4 linked regions of the Arabidopsis thaliana genome follow. The protein of the gene in region 1 interacts with the protein of each later gene in a pairwise test. Each region holds a gene or a part of one and is shown in the gene's direction. Other genes may lie near its edges. The genes, in order: AT3G51180, AT1G01440, PHB and SEOa.

Region 1 (5,306 bases):
TAGGGAGATATGCAAACCCTTTTGTCTTCTTCCTTGTCGGAAGTTTGATGCTTTCGATTTACTTGTAAGTTTTCAGGGGAGATAGGTTATCCTTGTTAAAGCAATGTTATAAGACAAGGAAGGTTGAGATTTGGGTTACGAAGAATAAGATTGATACTAGTAACAACAATGGATCAGACGAAGTTGTGTGGATTCACTTGTTGACGTTGCTACCAAATAACTTGCCAAACTTATTTATCGAGTGTTATGGCATTAGTTACTTCATCTATGACAAGACCACCTTCATCATTTATTGTGCTGACGAGAACACTTATGCGGCTTGCATCTATATTGTCAGGGGAGATTTGCTCAAGAAGTTTGTAATTGACACCATGGTTTTCTGTTGTTATAGCTGTGTTTATGCTCCCAATTTTATCCCCCTTCCTTTAATGTAAAAGTTCTGAATATAATAATAAGATGCTTTATTTATTAAAGCTCTCAAATCAACATTTATTTTATTTCACTAGTAGTTTAAACCAATTGACAAAACCGGTTCAGTCAATGTTACAACTTACAATCCAAAACAACAAACCAAACCGGATAAACACCCAAAATGCCCAAAAAAATAACAGAACATGTGACTAAAGCTTTGACAAACGGATGAAATCTAGGCTCTACGACCACTACAATGATATAATATATGTACTGTGCACTGAAATAATACCCAGCAAAATAGTGATCAGTTCCAAAGTCTAAAAGAAATCAGTATGACTCATTACAGTTTTACCAATCCAACATTTGTCGCCATCATAATCAAAATCACACGATCGTAGTCGTAGAAGCCTTTGCGTTGATCGTTACTTAGAGTGATTACCATTATCGTCACATCGTCATGATATCTCCGTCTCCTACCAACCGGAATATTCGTCAACTCTTCCAATGCGAAGCCTAAATCAAAGTGCCAATTTTCGTCTCCTAACTTTCTTGAACCTTTCAAAAAGAAAAATGTCAATTTTATCTTTTCGTCTTCTAATTTTCTAGTCGGACTAGTTGTTGTTTTTCCAATTTAATGTCGGCTTTCAACTCAGGCGTAGCCGGTGTTTTGGTCGGATTAAAATATTCCAAACTTAGTTTTGTCTAAGTGCTGGATTTTTGTGTTTTCTCTTTCTACATGACTTAAAATTAAATCTTGTTTAGATTATGTATGATTTACTGTCGGCTTGGCTCTTCTAAAGGACTAATATCCTTGTAACTTACTACCGACTGGTATGAAGACTGGTATGAAGTGGACCTTTTAAGGTTTTGAGGTGGAGCTTTTTTTGAAGAATTTTTGAATTGAGATCTAAAGATTCGTTGGAGTCATGGCCAGAATTATAAGAACGTACAGCAAAATTTGGCAGGCCGGCGGCGGTAAACCTATAGAAGGAGCTAGCGATGATGGATCTAAAGTCCAGCGACAAAGCTGAACCATATCGTTAGATATGGCTGATAAAGATCGTGTCAATACTCATCCTTCTCACGTGTGGATACTTTTTCACAAGTGGCATTTTTAACTCTTATTTTTTTTAAAAAGTTGGATTTAGAGTAAGTGGGCTTAATTTCAATTTTAAGTTGTAAATGTAGGACTTTGTTTTATCTGTAATGCCAATTTGGTTTTCCATTTTAATAAAAAATAAATAGCCAAAAATAAGGAAAAAATCTTATTTAATTTTTTAAAATAAGTAGGAATCCAATTGAGTTAATAAATAAATATAAATTAGGAATCCAATTATAATTTGGAGTTAGCTGAGACCTGAGAATTACACGAAATTAAATAAATAAATAACTGCTTCCGTTATATATAAATACAGTCTCTAAAGGAACGTCCTAACAAAATCCACCGTGTACTAAAAAGAAAAAGAAAATAGAAGAGACAGTTGTTAGGGTTTTCTCATCAATCAATCAATCATCATCATCACCCAAATCCTTCCGCCGACGTCTCTTTCTTGTTTCCGTTTTCTCTCTCCGATCTCTGACTCATCCATCGTATTGACCAATTCCCTAATCAAAATCCTTCGAATCTCAATTTGCTTCGTTAAGAAATCTGTAGATCTAGCAGAAAAAATTCATATTTGATCTGAATCTGATAAAAAAACGATCACCGGTTGAATCAAAAAGAATCGAATTTTGTTTTCACTGGTTTGTTTCTTTGAGATTTATATGAATAATATGAAGAGATCGAAGAAACCCAGAGTTTCATGGCCACCAGGTCCTAAGCTTTGTCAGGTATAATTAATCCTTATATGTTCCATGTTTTCTTATCCACTTTCTAATCCCAAATTGATTGATCCATCTCACCAAATCTAAACTCTCGATTATAACAATTAACCTAATTTCTGGATCCTAAAATTTCGATTTTGAAGTTTTCCTTTAAACCCAACGAATTGATTGATACGATCTTGAATCGCTGAATTATTTAATTTCAATATCCAATCGAAAAATGGTGAAGAAACCAAGTCTTGTTTGTTGTTACTTTGACGGCTCTTTTGGTATGTAGAAGGCTTTGATTTTTCTATCTTTGAAGATAACGTTTTAGCTCATATAGTTTACATGAAATTGATTTGAATCAACAAAGATATATTCAAGGTTTTGGATTTGGAAATTTGAATCAACATACAGTTAGATTTAGATTGAAACAAGATATGATCAAGTTTTGAAGTTTGAATGCATCAATCCAATACTCTGCAACTACAAATTTACAATCTTTTTACAGATAGACTTGGGAAGCCTTATTGGTTTAGTTACATAGTTTTGATACACGAAAAAGTCAGCTTTGGTTAGCTTCTAACTATGCGGATTTTGAACAGGTTAAGGTTTTTCGAACAGAGGACAGTCCTGCCAATGTAGCCTCTCAGCCTCAACGTCATAGCTACCCATCTAGGAAACCTCGAGGGCCAGATCTTCCACCTGGTTTTGAAGGAAATCACTATGCAGTTAAGCCTAATGTTTCAAACATTCCTCGCATCAAATGGAAACGACCTCCTCCCAAGGTATATTTTTTATACTGTAAAGAATTGGTGAATCCCTTTTGAATCTTTTTTTATCATATCTGATATTAATATTATGTGTCTTGGACAATGCAGTTCTCTGTCAATGATACTTGGCTGGTTGGATGTGGTGGCGGGAGCTCAGAATGGCAAAATGAAAACTTGAGGATTTCAAAAGTGCTGGAAGCTATCTATCCTCATCGCTCTGCCATCCCTTCTCGGTATTTTACCTTCTTCTCTTAGGTTATTCAACATTGTGTTGGTGTGTTAGTTAGCCTGCTGATTGCATTCTGTTTTCATGTAGACCCTCTGTTTCACCGGCTGTGGAAGCTGAATGCTTTGATGACAGCAAAACTCCTGCCATTCGTCTCACTCCTATTGAAGACGAGAGTGAATCTTCTTCAGAGGAGTCATCCAACAGTAAGGTTGAATCAGGTGTTACCGCAAACAAGCAGGGTCAGTTGGAGACCAAACCTCTATGTTCAACCCAAGAACAGGTTTCTGGTCTTACTGGTCTTGCACCAGACTTGAGTCTGGCTGCTTCTGCAGCTCTGACTGCACTGATGAAAACCAAGGAACAAGGGAGTTTGGTCGATACTGAGCTACTTATCAAGTTCCTCAGCGACCCAAAATTAATCAAGAATCTTATCACTGACACATCAGGTAAATCCTCTGAAACTAAGAATCAGCCCATTGTCACTAACATCAACTCTGCTACTAGACCTGTTCCGCAGCCTGTCAGTGCTGTCACCGCCTCACCCATGGCTAGAAAGCCGCAGCCAGTGATAATACCTCAAGAACACAGTGTTGCAGTTTCTCGGTCTTTTACTAACCCTGAGAGGCGAGTATCACCTCCCAAGCCTGTAAATGGAAGCATATCCCCACCTAAGCCTATAACTGGAAAACCATCTAGTATACCAATGCCCGTTCATTTCCATGTCGGTATAGCTAAAGAACAACCTCAGCCTGCTCGGTTCCCATCGAGTTCTCTGCCAATGAACCTTAACTTCCACCGACCTCCAAATGTTTTCTCAGAACCAAAGGTAATAGTAAATCCTCAACCCCAACACCAACCCTATTCCGCATTCCGTACATCTGAAATGAACTATGTTCAATCATCAATTGGACTTGGAAGGGGTCCTCAAACCGGTTTCAATTCTTATCCAATGAACTTTAGCCGGGCAGATGCAATTGGTAGCGCTAAACCAGTAGTACAACCTATGAAGGGTCTAGACTATTTCAAAAACCTTATAAGGGAACATGGCACAGATAATCATGAAACTAACCAATACCATTCACAAACTGGAATATTCAACGGACGCATTGATAATAATAATAAGATTCATCAACAATGTATCTACTTTGGCACTGCGAATGGATGTAATATGGGAGACAGTTGCACCTATGTTCATGACCGGTATAGGCCCAACTTTGAGGCCGCGGCTCCGAGGGCTAAGAGAATGAAGTTTGGAAGGTATGAGAGAAATGGTTTTTGAACATAAAAAAAAAAATAGAGTTCACTTTTATAGTCTTGTCTATCACTGGTTAAGGAACAAAACCTGAGGTGATACAACTTTCAATTTTGATCAATTTGTGCGCACCAATTTTAATTCATTTAACAAAGTTATTTGTTTAGAGCACCAGTTTAATGACACCAGTTTAAGAGGTCGAGAAAGCCGGACAATATTAATTTAAATCATGATTTCAAAACTAATCTGCGTAATTAATTTGTAGTAAACTATGTCCGGTCTTTTAAAACAAACGATTAACGGAGTTGAGTTTTGTAATCGCTTAAAAAAACTGTTGTAATATATAGCTAGAGTCTGGAGATGTACTGCAAAGTATAGGTAATATGTAGTAAAAAAATACCATCAAGATGACCGCAAAAGATCTCATAAATTAAAGAATTCAAAATTCTACCTTTAAAGGGCAGATTCGAAACGAAGCTCATTAGCTTTCAACACAAAAAGAGGTTATAACTAAAGTAAAAGGCTACAATGGGGTGTTAACAGAAATAAGAAATTAAAATCAAGAAAGCAGAGAAGAGTGTGTCTCAAGTCTAGTAGTCTGCCTTGGCTGCTAATGTGGCAGCTGCACCTCTACGACGACCAGTTCTCCTTGCAGCAATTTGACCAACCTTAGCACCAGCAGATTTATCACGCCTGACCGTACTGGCGTGACCAATGTGCTGGTGGTTTCCTCCTCCGTGGGGATGTTCCACTGGGTTCATCGCAACACCACGTACAACAGGCCAACAGTTCCTCTTCGCTTTGTACTTGTGGTATGCATTTCCAGCCTTGA
Region 2 (5,734 bases), on another chromosome or scaffold:
GAGTAGAAACATTAGGGCCGGGGAGAGACCGCTTTTTCCATTTAATTCACCAAAGTTCATAACAAACCTGACAAAACGATGCTGGCATGCTGATCCCAATCAGCGTCCAACTTTCTCATCGATAAGCAGAATTCTCCGGTATATCAAACGGTTTCTAGCTTTGAACCCGGAATGTTACAGTAGTAGCCAACAAGACCCGTCCATTGCGCCTACTGTGGATTACTGCGAGATCGAGACAAAGCTATTGCAGAAGCTTTCTTGGGAATCTACAGAGCTAACCAAAGTTTCACAGGTTCCTTTTCAAATGTTTGCATATAGGGTTGTGGAACGGGCAAAAACGTGTGAAAAGGATAATCTCCGGGAACCATCGGAATCAGGAAGTGAATGGGCTTCGTGTAGCGAGGATGAGGGTGGGGCAGGATCAGATGAGCAGTTGTCATATGCCAAGGAAAGAAGATTGTCATGCTCCTCAAATGATGTTGGTATGAGCAAGAAGCAGGTTTCAAATCTTCTGAAAAGAGCTTCTAGCCTGAAACCAATTCAAAAACCAGGTGAGATTATCATCAGCCAATATATATATATATATATAGGCTCCCTAACAAATATGAACTTGGTTACTTGTACTAATTTTTTTGTTTTGTGTCACTAGCCTTTGGATTCTGTTCAGGGACAACTCCGAGAGGACGATCAAGGCATCCGCCACTAAGCCCTTGTGGTGGGCAAAGCATGAGAGCAAACTCTGAGAGTCAGCTGATATTGATAAGCCCAAGGATACGACGATCAAACTCTGGACATGCCTCTGACTCTGAGCTTTCCTAGTCTGCAGGGAAAAAGAATAGGTTCATAATAGCAAGTTCAAAATGCTGTACAAGTCAAAAGACATACTAACTCGTATGTGGTGACACACACTCCACTACATATCTATCGAAAACGATAAAATTCTTCTTTATTCAAAGTTTCCTACAGATACTACTAGGCTCGTATATTGTTCAGGCTAGTGACTGATTGATTCAGTAGCTACTAGCTACAATATTATCTTAAAGGAAACAAATCATATGAGGCAAAATTATGTGCCTAGACTGTAGAGGCTCAACGCTGAAGTGAAGTAAACTAGGCCTGCTCCACTATTTCTACAATCTATCAAACACCATCAAATTACACTAATCAAATTTTGGGCTTCGAATGTGGATAAAAACATCAAAAATAAGGAACCTTGACTAATCTGCCTGAAAATTACCTTAACAAAAAAGGGGAACAGCGATTCCGCCGGGGACTAGAGACATGGCGTGGTTCGGAGCTTTGGCTCTGTCTCTCGTCAATTTCAATATCTCCGCCACCGCCGACTCCGTCACATCCATCCTCCGACGCTTTTATTATGTCATTGATTGTGATATGACCAAAAAGTCCCCACTCTAGTTTTAGATGAATGAAGCTATGATTTCTTTTTTTTTTTTGGTGATAAGTACGTTATTATGATTTTAATACCAACAGATTTGTCAAATATAACATTATAAGCAAGTGGAGTAAACAAACTAAGCAGCTGATTTGTACAAAAAATACTTTACAGCTATAACATTTGTCATTGTCACCCTAATATAAAATACAATTCCAACAACTAAAATACATCTCTAAACTTTTTAAAGATGATGATGATGAAAAGAATTCAAGTTATGAGCACGTCTGGGAACATGGCACACCATCTATTTTGACAAGATAATATTATACAATACATGTATAAAATACGTACACATTCATCGTTATAAACTAAACCCACCATGGCCATGATGAATAGTGTGTGTAGTTCAAGGTATTGTTGGTTTTGGAGCAGCGAGACACAAATATATCAAAGACCTAATTTGGTACTTTAACTTTCACCTTTCAAATGCAGTTAAATTCGAATCGATCCAACCAATTCATTAGTTACTACTATTTTTATTTTGTTGCATTATTTTTGGTCGTCACGTTATCTCTTGGTCAACTTGACCTGGTAAGACTCATAGTTTCTAGATATGTCAAAATTCTTAAACTCCATTGTCGATCTAATTGTTCCTAGTTGGTAGATTCCCGGGAAAACGAAGCAAGAAAAGTAGAGCTATTGTTCGAAGTCTTTTGATTATTTAAATAAATTCCTCTGAAATTTTCACAAAACTCCTTTAATATTAAAAAATGGCTGCGTCAAAGAGACTAAAAGCTTGATTCTCACCGGAGACGAAGAAATTGCCCAAAAAATATTCATAATACTGACGCCGGAATCACTCTTCTTCGAGGTGCGTTTGATTTTCCTATATCTCTCTGTCTTGTCTTTCCCGTTTTGGATGCTGTGCAATCATGGAAACTCTTGAACTAGTCTCTAGGAAAATTTTAAGATTTGCTCTACCATGTTACTATTCGCGGATTGGAGAAGATTCGATTAGAGAATTTGTTGATAATTTCGGATTTTGTTTGAATTCAAGGATTATTATTTCTGTTGCAGTTTAAACAAGCAAAACCCTAGAAGCTGGTCTTCGTCGGAGAATTTTTGTTTTTTTTTTCCGATGAGGACAAGCGGTGACGTTTATGGAGCAGATACTGGTTCCTCAAGAAGTGATGAAGACAGAGGCTTTAAGGAGGATCTCAATGAATCCGCTACTAGCCCGATGAGAAATCGCCTAGACGATTCGAATTCACGACCTGGTTCTCAGAGATTCGTCAAGAGCTCGAGAAAGGAGGAAGAGACTGATTCAGATTCTTCTTCTTCTAAGAACACAACCACCAGAAACAACCCAATTCAGTACACTGATAAACAACAAGCCGAGCTTTTGAGAAAGCTTGATTCTATTAAAGATCATCTTCTCCGTGGTGGAGGTAATAATGCTACTGTTGTTGATCAGCCACCAATGGGTTTCCATGCCCATCATGGACCTCCTCCTTCTTATTACAATCCATACCCTGAGCCATTTCCTTATGGAATGTATCCTACCGCGAGTAACCAACCTCATGTTCCAGCTTATAGAGACCCTTATGGATTCCCAGTGCATAGGATACCTCAAAACTTTTATCAAGGACCAAGTCATTACCCTAATCAGATGCCGCCTCGTCCACCCTATCCTCAAGGACAGTATGTAGACATTGGCTCTGATATACTTGAGTCACAGTTACAGGACCCTAGATTCTTTCCGGGTACGCCAAGTAGGTATGGTGATGTCCCATTTAGCCCGGCTTTGCACCACGGTGAGAAAGTTGGACCCTTTAGTCCACATGGTGGTGTTCACACGAGGTGGCCTAGTGAAATTGATTCTGAAATGGGTGGTGCTTTTGCTCGTGGGTATGTTCAACAAGCTGTGTCTGATACTGATTCACGTCGTTGCCATCCTCTAGCAGGCGGTGCGCCTTTTATTGCTTGTCACAGTTGCTTTGAGCTGCTATATGTGCCTAAGAAGAAGCTTCTTGGTCAGGAAAGGCAACAAAAGATGCAATGTGGTGCTTGTTCTGAGGTTATCACGTTCAGAGTTGTTGATAAGAAGCTTGTTTTCTCATCTTCTGCCCTGGGGGAAACTACGAACCGGGTTTCTGTAGAGGTTGAAGATAGAAGCTCACCAATCCCTGTGGTAGATGATTATCCACTCAATGATGAAGAACCAAGAATACACCAGGAAACGAAAATTGTCCATGCTGTATCGCCTAGTGATCACTCAAACGATGAAGACAGGTCAAGCATTTCTAGTGAGCCGCGGAAACAGGTCGTCAAGTCTGTTCGCAGCAGAGCCCAAGGCGCGAAGGTTCCTCCTCCTCCTCCTCCGGAAAAGTCCAATCTTCTTGAGCTCTTTGAGTATTCTAATGTAAACCGAGCTGCAATCACTTACGGAATGGCGCAGTTAGGGTACTATAAGCAAGAATCATACACGAAACAAGACTCCCTGAAATCAGAATCAGTAGCTACTGAGACAGATGTTTCTTATAATGAGTACTATACTAACACCGAGGAGTCTGAAGATTCAAGGATCTCAAAAGCCAGCAAAGAAGGGAGACGACCAAGAAACCGAAAGCAGAGTAGTGAGCACAGTTTCGCAGAGGTCACAAATAATATCAGTTCTAACGACCAAAACAACGAGCAGCTAGAGGTTTGGGTGAATGGGTATCTGATACCAGAAGATCTGGTTATTAGCGCTGAGAAACAAGCTGGGCCAGTTCAAGCTGGCAAATACTGGTATGTTTGGGGTTACGTTTTGATAAATCTACGTCAAAAGAATTGATCAGTCGTTCAAGAAACCATCTTTATGTTATGATTCTGACCAGGTATGATTACCGTGCTGGATTCTGGGGAGTGATGGGAAACCCTTGTCTCGGTATAATACCAGTAAGAACTTTCACATCTCTTCTATATTGCTTTGAATTCCAGTACACTGTTTCATAATTCTTTGTATTGATTGGTACTTGATGAGGAAATGGGAAACAATTGTTGGTTGATGCAGCCATTTATAGAGGAGTTTAGTCGACCAATGCCGGATAACTGCGGTGCAGGAAACACGAGTGTGTTTGTAAACGGAAGAGAGCTTCACGAGAGAGACCTAGAGTTACTATCAAGTAGAGGTCTTCCTCGAGGCAAGAACCGTTCTTACATCATTGATATAGCAGGAAGAGTTCTTGATGGAGACTCTGGTGAAGAACTTAAGAGTCTTGGCAGATTAGCTCCAACGTAAGCACAACACAATTCCATGTAATCAAATTTTTACATCAATCATTTAGTTGATTCTGAAATTTTATGGTTGAAAATTGAATCAGGGTTGACAAGGTGAAGCATGGATTTGGCATGAGGGTTCCAAGATCATTAGTCTCGTGAAGCTTCGTCAGCTTTGTTTTGACCTCTCTGATTTGTAAATTATTCTTTGTGATTGATATATAACACATCTTTGCTTATATTCTGACCCAAAACTTATTTGCTATTCTGTTTTTGGGTTTAGTTTCTTTTTTGGGGGTTCTCTTACAATGTTCCATTCTTTCTCTTACTTTTTTTTTTTTTGTCTAAGAGATAAACCGTATGGTTTTATATCTTGTGATCTGGTTTATGTAAATTGATCATTTTTTATTGTGGATAACCTGTTGCCTGTTGGGAAATAAAATAATATTTGTTTGATTTTGTGACAAAAGATAAATGTATATATTTATAGATCTGTCCAGGCTGTGTGTACTTGTTAAATCGTTTTCAAGAAAGAAAACACACTGGTATGGTAGATCCAAAATCAACTTCAAGTAAGATGGGTCCACGTAGCAAATATTTAAAGCCCATGGAATAATTTATTCACAATGGGCCTCGTGGTCGTGGTGTACCCTACTCCATATAAAAAAACAGAGTCGATAATCTAGTCTGTCTAAAACGACTAATTCATGTCTAAAGATTAGTTTATGTTTTAAATCACCGAGAACTAATTCTACCGTCTAGATAGAACGATTTTTTTTTTTTCTCTAGATAGAACGTTTAAAACAAAATTAGCATGAAAATTACCACGGTTATCAGAAGACAAAATATATTTTTTCGTCTAATTAGATGTGTAAAGCATAAACTAGATACTAATTTATATACTCACAAGTAGTTTTAGTTACAAGTTTCAACCATTAAATCTAAGTGCGAGGTCTCTGTCTTTAGTTGAAAAAAGAGAGAGAGAACAAGTCTCTATCTTTGCTCCTGATAAGTGATAATTAATCAATAAATACTGTAGGACCATCCTTATCGAGTTTCGTTTGATAGACACTACAA
Region 3 (7,659 bases), on another chromosome or scaffold:
GAAAACTTTTTTCTACAACTTCTTTTTTCATTTGCTTTGATTATGCGATGATATTAACAAATGAAGGATGCGACTAAACCTTCACAACAATGAAAACCAAAAAAAAATCCATTTACCATAGTTCAAACTTCAAACACGGTATATAAATGGTGAACATGCAGGAGTTAATAATCCCTCGTGATGAGGAAAACAAAACTCAAAACTCAAAAGAAAAATGTTTTGAGTGGCGCGAGAAGAAACCTCGTAATATTGTGTAGTTAAATAATGTTAAGTGGTGTTTTATGAAAAGAATACAACTTGAAAAGCATTTATTTTGCGTGTATTCGATGGAGAAAAGTATTTAGTAGTTGTAGCCTTTTATTGAAATAAAAATGGTTAATTGGGTGTCGAAGAAAAGGATATAGGGAGCTACGTGTGGTGGTATCTGCCATGTAGAAAATCGAAGCGCATGCACAAAGTTGGACTCATGATGAGACTTCACATGACCACCTTCATTTATTCCTCCTACTCCTCTCTCTCTCTATGTACAGTATTAGTATTAAATTACGTATATAAAAAAAAAAAAAAAATATTACGTATATATAAAAAAAAAAAAATATTACGTATTTATTTTTTGTCCTAGCGTATAGACACGTAGACCGTAGTTATAAGAAGTTAGTCGTTTGTCCGAGCATTGATTTTGTACAACTCTTACAGAACCTAAAACAGACTGTACTTACCAATGCCAAACTTGTCTGTCTTCTCTTTCTATTTATTTCTTGACTCAAATTTGAATCGAATATATTCATAATCTGACCAGAAAAAACCAAAACTCTAATAAACAAAAAAGCTTTGAAACTAACAAAGCGAAGCCAAATTTCATAAAAGAAAGTTTAAACACACAAAAAGTCCTAATTTGAGGCATTTTTTGACAGGACTAATAACTTTATATTTCAAAAAAATAAAGTCCCTTTCACGCTTCTCACGCGCTCGGTGAGTGACATTCCCACACCATTTTCCTCATGCATGCAACATTTATCATCATCATTATCATAAACCTAATGCATACAAAGATGTACGTAGATATACACATGATGATATATTGTACATGCAACATACATCAGCATCAGCATATGATGAACATCAGAAAGAAGGAAAGAGAAAGAAACTTATGTGATGTCCTTCTCACAGAGCTAAAGACAACAGCATTTTTTTTTCCCTAAGTTAGCAAAATACCCATTTCGTCAAATATCCGTTTCTTCTGACAACAATTTCTTCGAATAAAACATAACAATATTAAAAAGAAAAGGTAAAGAAAAAAACAAAGATTGGCCTGTCTTCTCTGCCTCCATATTAAGTTAGTTATTTTATATGTATTTTTATCATTACTGTTGTGGGTAGAGTAAAAAAAACAGATGGGTTTTGCAGAGACTGTTTTGCGTGTGTTGGCTTTTCTCCTTTATTGTCTTTCCCCTTTTTTATCCTGCACCTTATTTTAATTATTTCTTAGCTAATTTTTTATTGCTACAAATACTAGAATAATTTTATTTTATTTTTGCATCACAAGTTATAACCAGAAGAAACTTATGTAGTAATTAGTACACATAAAACTCAATTGCATTTTCTTTTTACATTTTTTTTTTTTTTTTTTTGGACAAATCATTTTCTTTTTACTAAAGTAAATGTTTTTAGTGAACACATTGAGTACAAATATGGACACAAAGTATAAATTATTATGAGATTTTGCAGTAGATATTAATTTATTTTAGCTATGTAAATAAAACCGTAAAAGTAAAAAGCTTTTATCAAATTCAACCCACCTGGCGTTTCAGTTTTCATTTTTTTTTTACCTTTATGCTGTTTTTATGTTCTTGCAAGTCTTTCTCGCGCCACACAAAAGAAAAGTAATTTCTTTTAGAGTTATGTTTTATTTTTTTTGGACCATGTCTTAAAAGGATCTCGAGATTGGCGTCTGAGATAAAGACCTCTACTTTGCTTCCTTTATCTTGCTCCTCTTATCTCTTCGCTTCTCCTTCCTCTCCTCTCTCGCCATTGCCCTCTGGCGTTTTCTGTCTTGAGCTAAAGAAATAACAAATAAACCGAAAAAAATAAAAATAGAAACTTTTTTTTTTGTTTATTTGTTCTTTCTCCAAAACTCCTTTTTTTTCTCACCATTATCTCATGAACGTGAGTGGAGGCTCTCTGAGTAGAGAGAGCCTACCCTTGAAAATAACCTAGGGATTTCTCCAATTTTCAAGCTTTACCCATTCAAAAGAATCGTCCTTTTTTCCTATTTCTGACTTTGAGCTATGATGATGGTCCATTCGATGAGCAGAGATATGATGAACAGAGAGTCGCCGGATAAAGGGTTAGATTCCGGCAAGTATGTGAGGTACACGCCGGAGCAAGTGGAAGCTCTCGAGAGAGTTTACACTGAGTGTCCTAAGCCAAGTTCTCTAAGAAGACAACAACTCATACGTGAATGTCCGATTCTCTCTAACATCGAGCCTAAGCAGATCAAAGTTTGGTTTCAGAACCGCAGGTGAAATTTCATCTTCTTTCCTTATCAAAGTTGTTACCTTTTGTCTGTATTAATTGTTTTCTTACCATTAGATTATCTTTTTGTTTGTATATGAGTTTATGAAGATGTTAAATGTTTTTCTTTCTTTGACTGGTCAGTTGTATTTAAGTTTCCTTGCTGTTCTTATCTGACAAGAATTTTTTGGATCTCAGTGATCATTTTGTTATGAGTTTTAATCGTCTTCTAAATCTCTTTAAAGCAAGAAACTTTGTTTACCATATGCTTTGACGTATCTAGTTGGTTGAATATCTAAATTCACGAAAGTGACATTTAATCAAATTGTCTTTGAATGCGTTTCCAACATTTATTTCTGTCAAAAGCTTAAGATTTTCTGCCAGAAATTATGATATGATAAAGGGGAAAAATTTACATTATCTTTTCTTCTTTATATCATTGGATGTGTTTTATAAAGACAAATGGTGTCTGTCTCTGTTCATCCACTAACATTTCTTCCCATCATCCATGCACATTTGGCTTTTATGTTGGCTTAGTTGGTCTAACGAAGCTTCCTTTTGATTTTTAGATGTCGTGAGAAGCAGAGGAAAGAAGCTGCTCGTCTTCAAACAGTGAACAGAAAACTCAATGCCATGAACAAACTCTTGATGGAAGAGAATGATCGTTTGCAGAAGCAAGTTTCTAACTTGGTCTATGAGAATGGCCACATGAAACATCAACTTCACACTGTAAAGTTCACTTTTCACTATTTTCTGTCTCTAAAACTCAATTCTATGAAGCATTTTGTTTGAAAGTTGTTATCTTTTTTTTGGAATGTAGGCTTCTGGGACGACCACAGACAACAGCTGTGAGTCTGTGGTCGTGAGTGGTCAGCAACATCAACAGCAAAACCCAAATCCTCAGCATCAGCAACGTGATGCTAACAACCCAGCAGGGTGAGCTTTTCTTGTCTGCTCTATAACTCTCTAATGAATTCTGTTTCCCACTCTGTGACAACCTAAATGGTTCTTTTTTGTTTAGACTCCTTTCTATAGCAGAGGAGGCCCTAGCAGAGTTCCTTTCCAAGGCTACAGGAACTGCTGTTGACTGGGTTCAGATGATTGGGATGAAGGTAATACTTTCTGGCCTGAATACTCTTAAAGTTGTATAATCTGATTTCTATTCTTTAGTTGTGTCTGAAGATGAAGTTGTTTATGATTATTTGATGAACCTTCATTGCTGGTGTAGCCTGGTCCGGATTCTATTGGCATAGTCGCTATTTCGCGCAACTGCAGCGGAATTGCAGCACGTGCCTGCGGCCTCGTGAGTTTAGAACCCATGAAGGTAAAGAGTGCGATTTGTTACGTTCTGGCTTGTGTTTATAATCATTAGCTTACGCTAGTCTTGATTTGAAAACAAATATAGGTTGCTGAAATTCTCAAAGATCGTCCATCTTGGCTCCGAGATTGTCGAAGTGTGGATACTCTGAGTGTGATACCTGCTGGAAACGGTGGGACGATCGAGCTTATTTACACGCAGATGTATGCTCCTACGACTTTAGCAGCAGCTCGTGACTTTTGGACGCTGAGATATAGCACATGTTTGGAAGATGGAAGCTATGTGGTGAGTTCTTGAATCTGCTTTTTCTGTTATGTAGTTTCTGTTTTAATACTTTTGTCTTCACTCACTGTCTTCAGGTTTGTGAAAGGTCGCTTACTTCTGCAACTGGTGGCCCCACTGGGCCACCTTCTTCAAACTTTGTGAGAGCTGAAATGAAACCAAGCGGGTTTCTCATCCGTCCTTGCGATGGTGGTGGTTCCATTCTCCACATTGTTGATCATGTTGATCTGGATGTAAGTGACAACTCGAATCGGTTCATAACACTTCAGTTCTCTCTTTATAATATGATCATGACTTTGTTTTTTCGGTTTTGCAAGGCCTGGAGTGTCCCTGAAGTCATGAGGCCTCTCTATGAATCATCGAAGATTCTTGCTCAGAAAATGACTGTTGCTGTAAGTTCAAATACCTTTATCCAAACTGTATATGACCTGAACGACTTGGTATGCTGCAATGTTTCTTAAGTTCGGAGTCTTATTTCAGGCTTTGAGACATGTAAGACAAATTGCACAAGAAACAAGTGGAGAAGTTCAGTATGGTGGAGGGCGCCAACCTGCGGTTTTAAGAACCTTCAGTCAAAGACTCTGTCGGTAAGTATCTACTTTACTTAATAGCTTTATCACCAAGAATTTCTTTTATTCTTATTCTAATTGTTCAATATGGATGAACTTTCAGGGGTTTCAATGATGCTGTTAATGGTTTTGTGGATGATGGATGGTCACCAATGGGTAGCGATGGTGCAGAGGATGTTACTGTAATGATAAACTTGTCCCCTGGGAAGTTTGGTGGGTCTCAGTACGGTAATTCATTCCTTCCAAGCTTTGGTAGTGGCGTGCTTTGTGCCAAGGCATCTATGTTGCTTCAGGTACATGTCTTAAGGATTTGATAATAAAAAAACTAATATTCTGTTTCTGTCTGTTTCTAACTAACTTGCATCTTTTTTTTTTTGTTTGAAGAACGTTCCACCCGCTGTGCTGGTTCGATTCCTTAGAGAACACCGATCTGAATGGGCTGATTATGGCGTGGATGCTTATGCTGCTGCATCGCTCAGAGCAAGTCCTTTTGCTGTTCCTTGTGCTAGAGCTGGGGGGTTCCCAAGTAACCAAGTCATTCTTCCTCTTGCGCAGACAGTTGAACATGAAGAGGTACTTTTATCAAAGAATAACACAGCTTCACTTTCTCCTCTCTCTAAATACGTGTTATAGTCCTGAAACCTTTCTTGGTTACTTGTTTCAGTCACTTGAGGTGGTTAGACTTGAAGGTCACGCTTACTCACCCGAAGACATGGGTTTAGCTCGGGATATGTATTTGCTACAGGTTTGACTTCATACTTTAACTCCAAAGTTTCTATGCTCCTTTGTTCTCTTCATGACATTTTGGATTCTTGATTCTTGTCTAGCTTTGTAGCGGTGTTGATGAAAATGTGGTTGGAGGTTGTGCACAGCTTGTATTTGCCCCTATCGATGAATCATTTGCTGATGATGCACCTTTGCTTCCTTCCGGTTTCCGCATCATACCTCTTGAACAGAAATCTACTCCGGTAACATGTCAAAAAGCCATTTAAGGATCAGTCCCAAATCATTTATTCTTGACGCAATATTCTAAATTTCTAATCCTTCACTGTCATATAGAACGGTGCATCTGCAAACCGTACCCTGGATTTAGCCTCAGCTTTAGAAGGATCCACACGTCAAGCTGGTGAAGCCGACCCAAATGGCTGTAACTTTAGGTCGGTACTAACCATAGCATTCCAGTTCACATTTGATAACCATTCAAGAGACAGTGTTGCTTCAATGGCACGTCAGTACGTGCGAAGCATAGTAGGATCGATTCAGAGGGTTGCTCTAGCCATTGCTCCTCGTCCTGGCTCCAATATCAGTCCAATATCTGTTCCCACTTCCCCTGAAGCTCTCACTCTGGTCCGTTGGATCTCCCGGAGTTACAGGTACTTCATTATCATTAGCCTCTAGGTTTCTGCTTTTGTTTACATGATCTATGGAGTATTTTATCTGAATTTCTCTTCTTTTCTTTTTGGCTTTGTAGCCTTCACACTGGTGCAGATCTCTTTGGATCTGATTCTCAAACCAGTGGTGACACGTTGCTGCATCAACTCTGGAATCACTCTGATGCAATCTTGTGCTGCTCCCTCAAAACAAACGTAAGTAACAAGGCTTCCCATTCAGATTTTGTATTTGTGACTAGAACATGTTCTTGAGATGACTGACATAAATTCTCATCTGTAGGCTTCACCGGTTTTCACATTCGCAAACCAAACCGGTTTAGACATGCTGGAAACGACTCTTGTAGCCCTTCAAGACATAATGCTAGACAAGACCCTTGACGAACCTGGTCGTAAAGCTCTTTGCTCTGAGTTCCCCAAGATCATGCAACAGGTTTTTGTTTTTTCTTGGGAAACATTTTGACATTTTCTTGGAAAAATCATTGTTTGACTTGGAATCTAAATTTTGTTTTACAGGGCTATGCTCATCTGCCGGCAGGAGTATGTGCGTCAAGCATGGGAAGGATGGTATCTTACGAGCAGGCAACGGTGTGGAAAGTTCTTGAAGACGATGAATCAAACCACTGCTTAGCTTTCATGTTCGTGAATTGGTCGTTCGTTTGAAGAATAATAAGAAATAAGAAGACCAGATTTTACTCCATTTTTCCCTTGGTAGGGAGGTTATTTATGTAAGATATTAAAGTTAGGTGCCACTATGCTCCAAAGTCTTTTGAAATTCGAGGACCAATATGTAATATGACGAATGTCTGATCTTGTATGGATTGTTCTTGTTCCTATGTTACGTTATATGGCAAGATTATTATGATAATGTTATCAAGTTTTTTTTCTTGTGCTCGTTTGCTTTCACAAGGTGACTAGTTTCTATTTTCAACTACCTATTTATATGACCATCTATGTCTAGTTTGTCTACTATAGGGGGTTCTTGTTTGACGTGTAGTTTTTTCTTTCCCTGAATGTTTTAGTTATGCTGCTAAAATTTAGCTCTTTACTGAAGTCTCATAGTTTGTAGCCAAAAAAAAAGAAAAAAAAAAAAATATATGAGTTAAAATTTCGTAAATATCTAATTGGACAAAGAAACTATATTAAGTTTTGGAACATCTAACAGGCTAATAATAATGATGTTTCATTTTTATAAAGTAAGAAAGATAGATGAATGAGCTAGCTGGTTACGTTGTGCAATTTTGGAGTATGTATATCAATAATTATAATAAAATAGAAATATATGTATTATTGATAAGATATTATGTTAGATTTGGGTATTATTGTTTTGTATAATGGAGGGTGGTCCAATTTGAATACAGGTTCTAGTTGTGCGAAGCCGTTAATAGCACTGCAAACAAACTTAAAGATTAGATTTGCATGAATCTTCACAATAAATGAATACATCATGCCTATTTATAAATTGATCGTACACTAAAAAAAAAAAAAAAACGTATACTGAAATCGTATCTATCATAAGAAAAGTAAATGATGATGATGCCTCCTACTCTTTAGCTTATAGGCAGAGAAACCTTTTTTTTGTCAATGA
Region 4 (5,940 bases), about 19 Mb from region 1:
CAACACCATTGACATGCAGCTTTGACCAGCCCAAATCCCATTTCTTCCAGAGATTTTCAGATCTTTCTGTAGAAAATTAAAGTGTTCTTTTGTTCTTTGATTGAATTCCTAAACTTTATCTTGTTCATAAAATTTCTTTGATTGGATTGTAAGAATTATGTATTTGTCTGTTGGCTTTCTTTGATTTTTCAAGATTCGATTAAACCAAAGTTGATTGCTTAAACACTTTAATTTTGATTTGTTTTGTCGACATAAGCAATGAGAAATAAATGGATGAATAGCCCAATAGAAGCCCATTAGCCTGAAATTGGGCTACAAGCAAACATACCAAATAAATAGTAGGGAAGAGCAGAAATAATCACACCACTCATCAGTTATCCATTCCTTTCTTTTTACATAAATTTTGTCACTTTTTCTACAAACGATTCTTCGCTTCTGTGAAATTTGATAAAGCGAAAGTTTTTTTCTTATGGATTCTCTTCGATTCAACCTCCAACAATCTCCATTTCAATTGAAACCTAGAATTCTCCGACCAAGAATCACCAACATATCAAACCGAATCGATGAAACCGATCCTCGACCATCATCCTCGGCCGGTAGGATCCAAAGGTTAGTACTTAACAACGAAGGTCGGACCAAACTAAACGCCGATCCTGACCGTGAATTCTATTCATATCCACGGTTCGTGAACCACGTAGATGATAGTTTCATATCCTCCTTAACCGAACTATACAGAAACCGGTTGAGACCCGGTTCGACTGTACTTGACTTGATGAGCTCATGGGTCAGCCATCTTCCAGAAGAAGTGAAGTACGAGAAAGTAGTAGGGCATGGTCTTAACGCACAGGAGCTTGCTCGTAACCCTAGACTCGATTACTTCTTCGTCAAGGATCTTAATGAAGATCAGAAGTTCGAGTTCGAAGACAAGTATTTCGACGCTGTTTTGTGTTCTGTTGGTGTACAGTATCTACAACAACCCGAAAAGGTACGTTACCGTAAACCAAAACCGATTTCGGTTATGTCAAGAAGATTCCTAAACCGGGTCTTTATTATATAAACCGCAGGTGTTTGCAGAAGTGTATAGAGTGTTGAAACCGGGAGGAGTGTTGATAGTGAGTTTTAGCAACCGGATGTTTTATGAGAAAGCAATTAGGGTTTGGCGTGATGGAACCGAATACAGTCGGATCCAATTGGTGGTTCAGTACTTTCAGTCTATTGAAGGGTTTACTCAGCCGGAGATCATCCGGCAACAGCCTGGAGCTCAGATATCGGTTTTGACTCGGCTTATGGGTTTTATCGGTTTAGCTTCTACGCCCGATCCTTTTAATGCTGTCATTGCTTATAAAAATTTCAAACCTATTTATGAGTAACACGCACATAAAAAAAAGTGTATAAGAATTGGATGGGAAGTTTTTGAAGAAAAGGAAAAAACCTCTCAACCAAGTCCAGCTGGAGAAACTTACAATACAAATTTTTAAAAAGTGGAGAATGAAATTACAGATTTCAATCAAATTGGAAGAACCTGTATTACACAAGAAATAATTGACAGAAAGATTACACACTTTGGAAAATATAATTAATATATAGTTTTCAATTAGCATGCATTGTATGTGATTCGTTTTGTTCGAAGATTCATGGACAATATCCAAGCAAGGTAGCCTTGTCCCTCTTCAAACGAGTATCACGAGTTGCTTACTTTATGGTTTAGATTCTATAATAACAGTATATATATTAGAAGGAAGTCTTTTATATTAAAACAAAAATCCATTGTATATGTACACTATCTATGTTCCATGCATGTGTCTTCTTAAATAGCTATGAAGTCCCTTATTTTACTATGTACATACTAAATTTAGTTATGTTTATCAGGATAACTCGTTGTACCATCAGTATATAAACTTTGAAATATTAAATGTTTCTCACTACTAGTATTAGACTGTTGCAGTTGCGTTAGAGACGTTTCATATTTAGAAATAATATTATCCAAGACCTGAAATTCTTATTATTATGAAAATTATGAAATATCGATAAGGGAAAAACTGTATGGAAGTGTAAAAGACACCAAAACAGATATTGAACCAAAGGTGAAGCAAAGAAGTTGATTCAAAGTTGCCACTTTATTTAACCTTTTGCACCAGTATATATACACACACATGGATACTAACCCAATCATTCATCACAACACATCAGATCCTTCACCATATATTTCTCTCAACCTCGCCAATATGGCCCAACGCTTTCAATTGAACTCACAAACCCTCCCAACGGCCGACCCTCTCAAAAGGGTCTCCCTTATTCCAAGATCCGCCGAGCAGAGGCTGGCTGATAACGCAGGCGAGAGGCGTCCTTTAGCACCGAGATCTCACGAAGACAACCCCTTTGGGGGTCATACTGATGATCACCATGTTGCTGCTCCTGCGGACCATAATAAGGTGATGGATCATAATAGCGAGAATCTCGGTTCCATTGTCCCTAAGACTGCACATTACCCTCATCCATCTGAGGAAATCCTTGATGCTAATATCCGACATTCGATGGTTCCGAAATCATTGGGTCCCAATTCGCTCGGTGGAAGATTTGGTCCGGGAAAGAAACAAGCTTTCCATAGAAATGGCAGACCCATGTTTTCACTTTCTGATGACCGAGTCATGGCTGATAGAGTCTTGAAGACTCACAGTCCAGACATGATCTTCTTTGATGTCACATCACTTCTCTCCGTTGTTAATGACATCTTCAAGTCTCATGTCCCATCCATTGACTCCTCTGCTCCTAAGGTTTAGTTTACTTGTGCAACAATTAATCCCCATTTCAAATACTGATTTTTACAAGCGTATTAAATTTAAAACTTTTTGCAGCCATCACTCGTCTTCAAGGACTACGCTGATCATACCTCCTTTGAAACTTTTGCGGATCTCATTGATCAAATCTCTTGCGAGGTATATATGAAGCTTTCTTGTTTTAAGTAACGTTTGAGTCAGTATCTAAGTATCAATGTCTCTGACACAGATCGACTGCAAGTGTCTCCATGGCGGTGAGTCTCACGGTATGATGACATCAGGGCTTCATTTGGATAGTCGCAACACGACGACGTTCTCTGTTCTGTCTTTGGTCTCCAAATACCGTTGGGATGCTAAGCTAGTCCTTGTCCTATCTGCTTTGGCCGTGAAATACGGCGTTTTTCTCCTCCTCGCGGAGACACACGCAACAAATCAGCTCACAAAATCTCTGGCTCTCATCAAACAGCTCCCTAGCATCTTCTCCCGGCAGAACGCTCTACACCAGCGTCTCGACAAGACCCGAATTCTGATGCAAGACATGGTTGATCTCACCACTACCATCATCGATATCTATCAACTCCCGCCAAACCACATCACAGCCGCGTTTACCGACCATATCCCCACTGCGGTTTACTGGATTGTTCGCTGTGTTTTGATATGTGTTTCTCACATCAGTGGCGCCAGTGGTTTCAAGCAGGAGTAAGTTGTTTTTCTTTCTGATTTCTAGGGTTTCAAGTAGGAGTAAGTTGAGTATGTGCTTCTCATCTATGTTTTCAGTCAAATCATGTCGTTTATGGAAGTTTCGGAGATACATGAGAATAGCGAAAGGCTTAGGAAGATCAATGCTTACTTGTTAGAACAATTCAAGAAGAGTAAAATGACCATCGGTAACTACGACGTCGTTTTAAGCTCTCTCTCTGTTTCTATATATTTAAGAGTATTTTTATTCCTCTGTTCTCAAGCTCTGTTTTTTTTACTCTGTTACAGAGGAAGGTATAATCGAAGAAGAGTATCAAGAACTCATCCAGACGTTCACTACTATCATTCACGTCGACGTTGTTCCTCCTCTACTTCGTCTTCTCAGACCCATTGATTTTCTTTACCACGGAGCTGGTGTTTCAAAGAGACGCGTAAAACCTCCTTATATCTCTGCATCTGTATATGTCTCTTGTCAGTGACTGATCTGTTTTCAAACATTAACCAGGTCGGGATCAACGTGCTCACCCAAAAGCACGTTCTGCTTCTGATATCAGACCTAGAAAACATCGAAAAAGAGCTCTACATCCTGGAATCGCTCTACACAGAAGCATGGCAGCAGTCATTCGAGATTCTTTGGGTTCCAGTTCAAGATTTCTGGACAGAAGCTGACGATGCCAAGTTCGAGGCCCTTCACATGAACATGAGGTGGTACGTTCTTGGAGAGCCTCGGAAATTAAGACGAGCCGCGATAAGGTTTGTGAGGGAATGGTGGGGTTTCAAGAACAGGCCTATACTCGTTGCACTTGATCCCAAAGGTCAAGTTATGTCAACCAACGCCTTTCCTATGGTCTGGATCTGGCAACCCTTTGCTCACCCTTTTACCACCGCAAGGGAACGTGATCTATGGAGCGAACAGGAGTGGAATCTTGAGTTCTTGATTGATGGCACTGATCCTCATTCCTTAAACCAGGTTTCTTGATTGAATAAAAAAACAGAGTACTAATAAATTTTTCTTTCTCTTGTGTTACACGTAACCTGAAAATCTGTGTGTGTTTCAAATGTTTTTTATCAGCTTGTTGATGGAAAATACATATGTCTCTACGGAGGAGAAGATATGCAATGGATCAAAAACTTCACGAGTCTCTGGCGTAATGTAGCGAAGGCCGCAAACATTCAACTTGAGATGGTTTATGTCGGGAAAAGAAACCCTAAGAATGGAATCCAGCCGATAATCAACACAATCCGGGAGGAAAATCTCAGCCATACTTTGCCGGACTTGTTCCAGATCTGGTTTTTCTGGACCAGGGTCGAGAGCATGTGGGAATCGAAGCAGAGGATGCTGAAAGCCCACGGAATCAAGGGGAGAGAAGGGTTTAAAGAAGAGGAAAAGGACCTTGTTCTGCAAGAAGTGGTTGCTATGTTAGGTTATGGAGGAGAAGGAGATGGATGGGGACTGGTGAGTAAAGCATCGGACATGATGGTTCGAGCCAAAGGGAACTTGTTTTCTAGGGGTTTGGCTGAATTTAACGAATGGGAAGTCAACATCCCCACAAAGGGTTTTCTTACAGCGCTCAATGATCATCTCTTAATGCGTCTCCCACCACATCACTGCACAAGGTTCATGCTTCCTGAGACTGCTGGAATTATACCTAATGAGGTTGAGTGCACCGAGTGCCGTAGGACTATGGAAAAGTATTACTTGTACCAATGCTGCCTTGAGTAAGATCCCATAATACTGGGGAACAAGTTGATTTGGAAGCCAACAACTTGTTCCTATAAAACCAAATAAGTTTGCGTCTTTTTTTTCCTCCTTGTTGTGAGTTTCTCTACTCTTCATGTTGTTGTTGTTGTTCTGCTCTACTAAAAGCAGAGAGTCTTTGTAATAAAATTTGTGTGTTTGAGATTTCGAAATAATAAAGGTTTATTTATCGGAAGCTTCTAGAACAATGAACTGATTGAACATTGCTTCTTTGTTGATTTCTTGATCCTTAAGCTCCTAGAACACTAGTGAACTAATACACAAGTAACACAAGTGACCGTGACATTTTTTTAATGTGACAGTAATATCTTTTGACATTTAGCCTTTTGAAATGAAATTACTTAATGCTAGTAAAATATAGGCAAAGTAAAAGGATGGATCAATCAATCAAAAGATGAACAGTCTTTTGAGTCCAAATCACATATCGTAATATATCTAATAGAAAGTTAAAAGTGTTAGTCTACATTATTGAAAAAATAAACCATGAGACTGATTGCTGTATTACAAAGGGGGAATACAACTTTAAACGACAAATCAGCGGTTCCTAGCCTGTAGTTAATGTAAAAGTTAAATCTTCCAAACCATCAAATACTTTTTAAATATTGCATATATCGGATTCGATTTCGAAGAAGCTCTTATACGTATTTCTAATGATGAGATATTAAAATTTGTTGCGTATAGAAACAACAAATTTAATCCTACCTA

Evidence for each region.
Region 2: the proteins of AT3G51180 (region 1) and AT1G01440 interact in a two-hybrid assay, tested with the Arabidopsis thaliana proteins (one large-scale study listed by BioGRID).
Region 3: the proteins of AT3G51180 (region 1) and PHB interact in a two-hybrid assay, tested with the Arabidopsis thaliana proteins (one large-scale study listed by BioGRID).
Region 4: the proteins of AT3G51180 (region 1) and SEOa interact in a two-hybrid assay, tested with the Arabidopsis thaliana proteins (one large-scale study listed by BioGRID).

What each region holds. Positions count from the first base shown.
Region 1 is NC_003074.8:19,011,542-19,016,847, forward strand, and holds AT3G51180 (Zinc finger C-x8-C-x5-C-x3-H type family protein), read left to right. Parts: upstream 1-1,847; 5' UTR 1,848-2,178; coding exon 2,179-2,244; intron 2,245-2,825; coding exon 2,826-3,008; intron 3,009-3,101; coding exon 3,102-3,226; intron 3,227-3,309; coding exon 3,310-4,501; 3' UTR 4,502-4,806; downstream 4,807-5,306. Other genes in the region: AT3G51171 (F-box and associated interaction domains-containing protein), read left to right, coding at 1-85; AT3G51190 (Ribosomal protein L2 family), read right to left, coding at 5,065-5,306.
Region 2 is NC_003070.9:159,020-164,753, reverse strand, and holds AT1G01440 (hypothetical protein (DUF3133)), read left to right. Parts: upstream 1-1,800; 5' UTR 1,801-2,267; intron 2,268-2,473; 5' UTR 2,474-2,534; coding exon 2,535-4,186; intron 4,187-4,275; coding exon 4,276-4,336; intron 4,337-4,451; coding exon 4,452-4,675; intron 4,676-4,761; coding exon 4,762-4,819; 3' UTR 4,820-5,126; downstream 5,127-5,734. Other genes in the region: AT1G01450 (Protein kinase superfamily protein), read left to right, coding at 1-649.
Region 3 is NC_003071.7:14,638,623-14,646,281, reverse strand, and holds PHB (Homeobox-leucine zipper family protein / lipid-binding START domain-containing protein), read left to right. Parts: upstream 1-1,926; 5' UTR 1,927-2,288; coding exon 2,289-2,521; intron 2,522-3,083; coding exon 3,084-3,243; intron 3,244-3,334; coding exon 3,335-3,450; intron 3,451-3,535; coding exon 3,536-3,626; intron 3,627-3,742; coding exon 3,743-3,838; intron 3,839-3,919; coding exon 3,920-4,117; intron 4,118-4,191; coding exon 4,192-4,347; intron 4,348-4,431; coding exon 4,432-4,506; intron 4,507-4,594; coding exon 4,595-4,701; intron 4,702-4,786; coding exon 4,787-4,976; intron 4,977-5,067; coding exon 5,068-5,256; intron 5,257-5,347; coding exon 5,348-5,428; intron 5,429-5,510; coding exon 5,511-5,651; intron 5,652-5,742; coding exon 5,743-6,056; intron 6,057-6,154; coding exon 6,155-6,269; intron 6,270-6,354; coding exon 6,355-6,504; intron 6,505-6,587; coding exon 6,588-6,734; 3' UTR 6,735-6,959; downstream 6,960-7,659. UniProt on the Arabidopsis thaliana protein: Probable transcription factor involved in the determination of adaxial-abaxial polarity in ovule primordium. Specifies adaxial leaf fates.
Region 4 is NC_003074.8:245,063-251,002, forward strand, and holds SEOa (sieve element occlusion protein), read left to right. Parts: upstream 1-2,129; 5' UTR 2,130-2,153; coding exon 2,154-2,774; intron 2,775-2,855; coding exon 2,856-2,936; intron 2,937-3,006; coding exon 3,007-3,476; intron 3,477-3,554; coding exon 3,555-3,664; intron 3,665-3,764; coding exon 3,765-3,907; intron 3,908-3,981; coding exon 3,982-4,446; intron 4,447-4,548; coding exon 4,549-5,199; 3' UTR 5,200-5,410; downstream 5,411-5,940. Other genes in the region: AT3G01660 (S-adenosyl-L-methionine-dependent methyltransferases superfamily protein), read left to right, coding at 470-985, 1,065-1,370. UniProt on the Arabidopsis thaliana protein: Scaffold protein required to form the phloem filament matrix in sieve elements.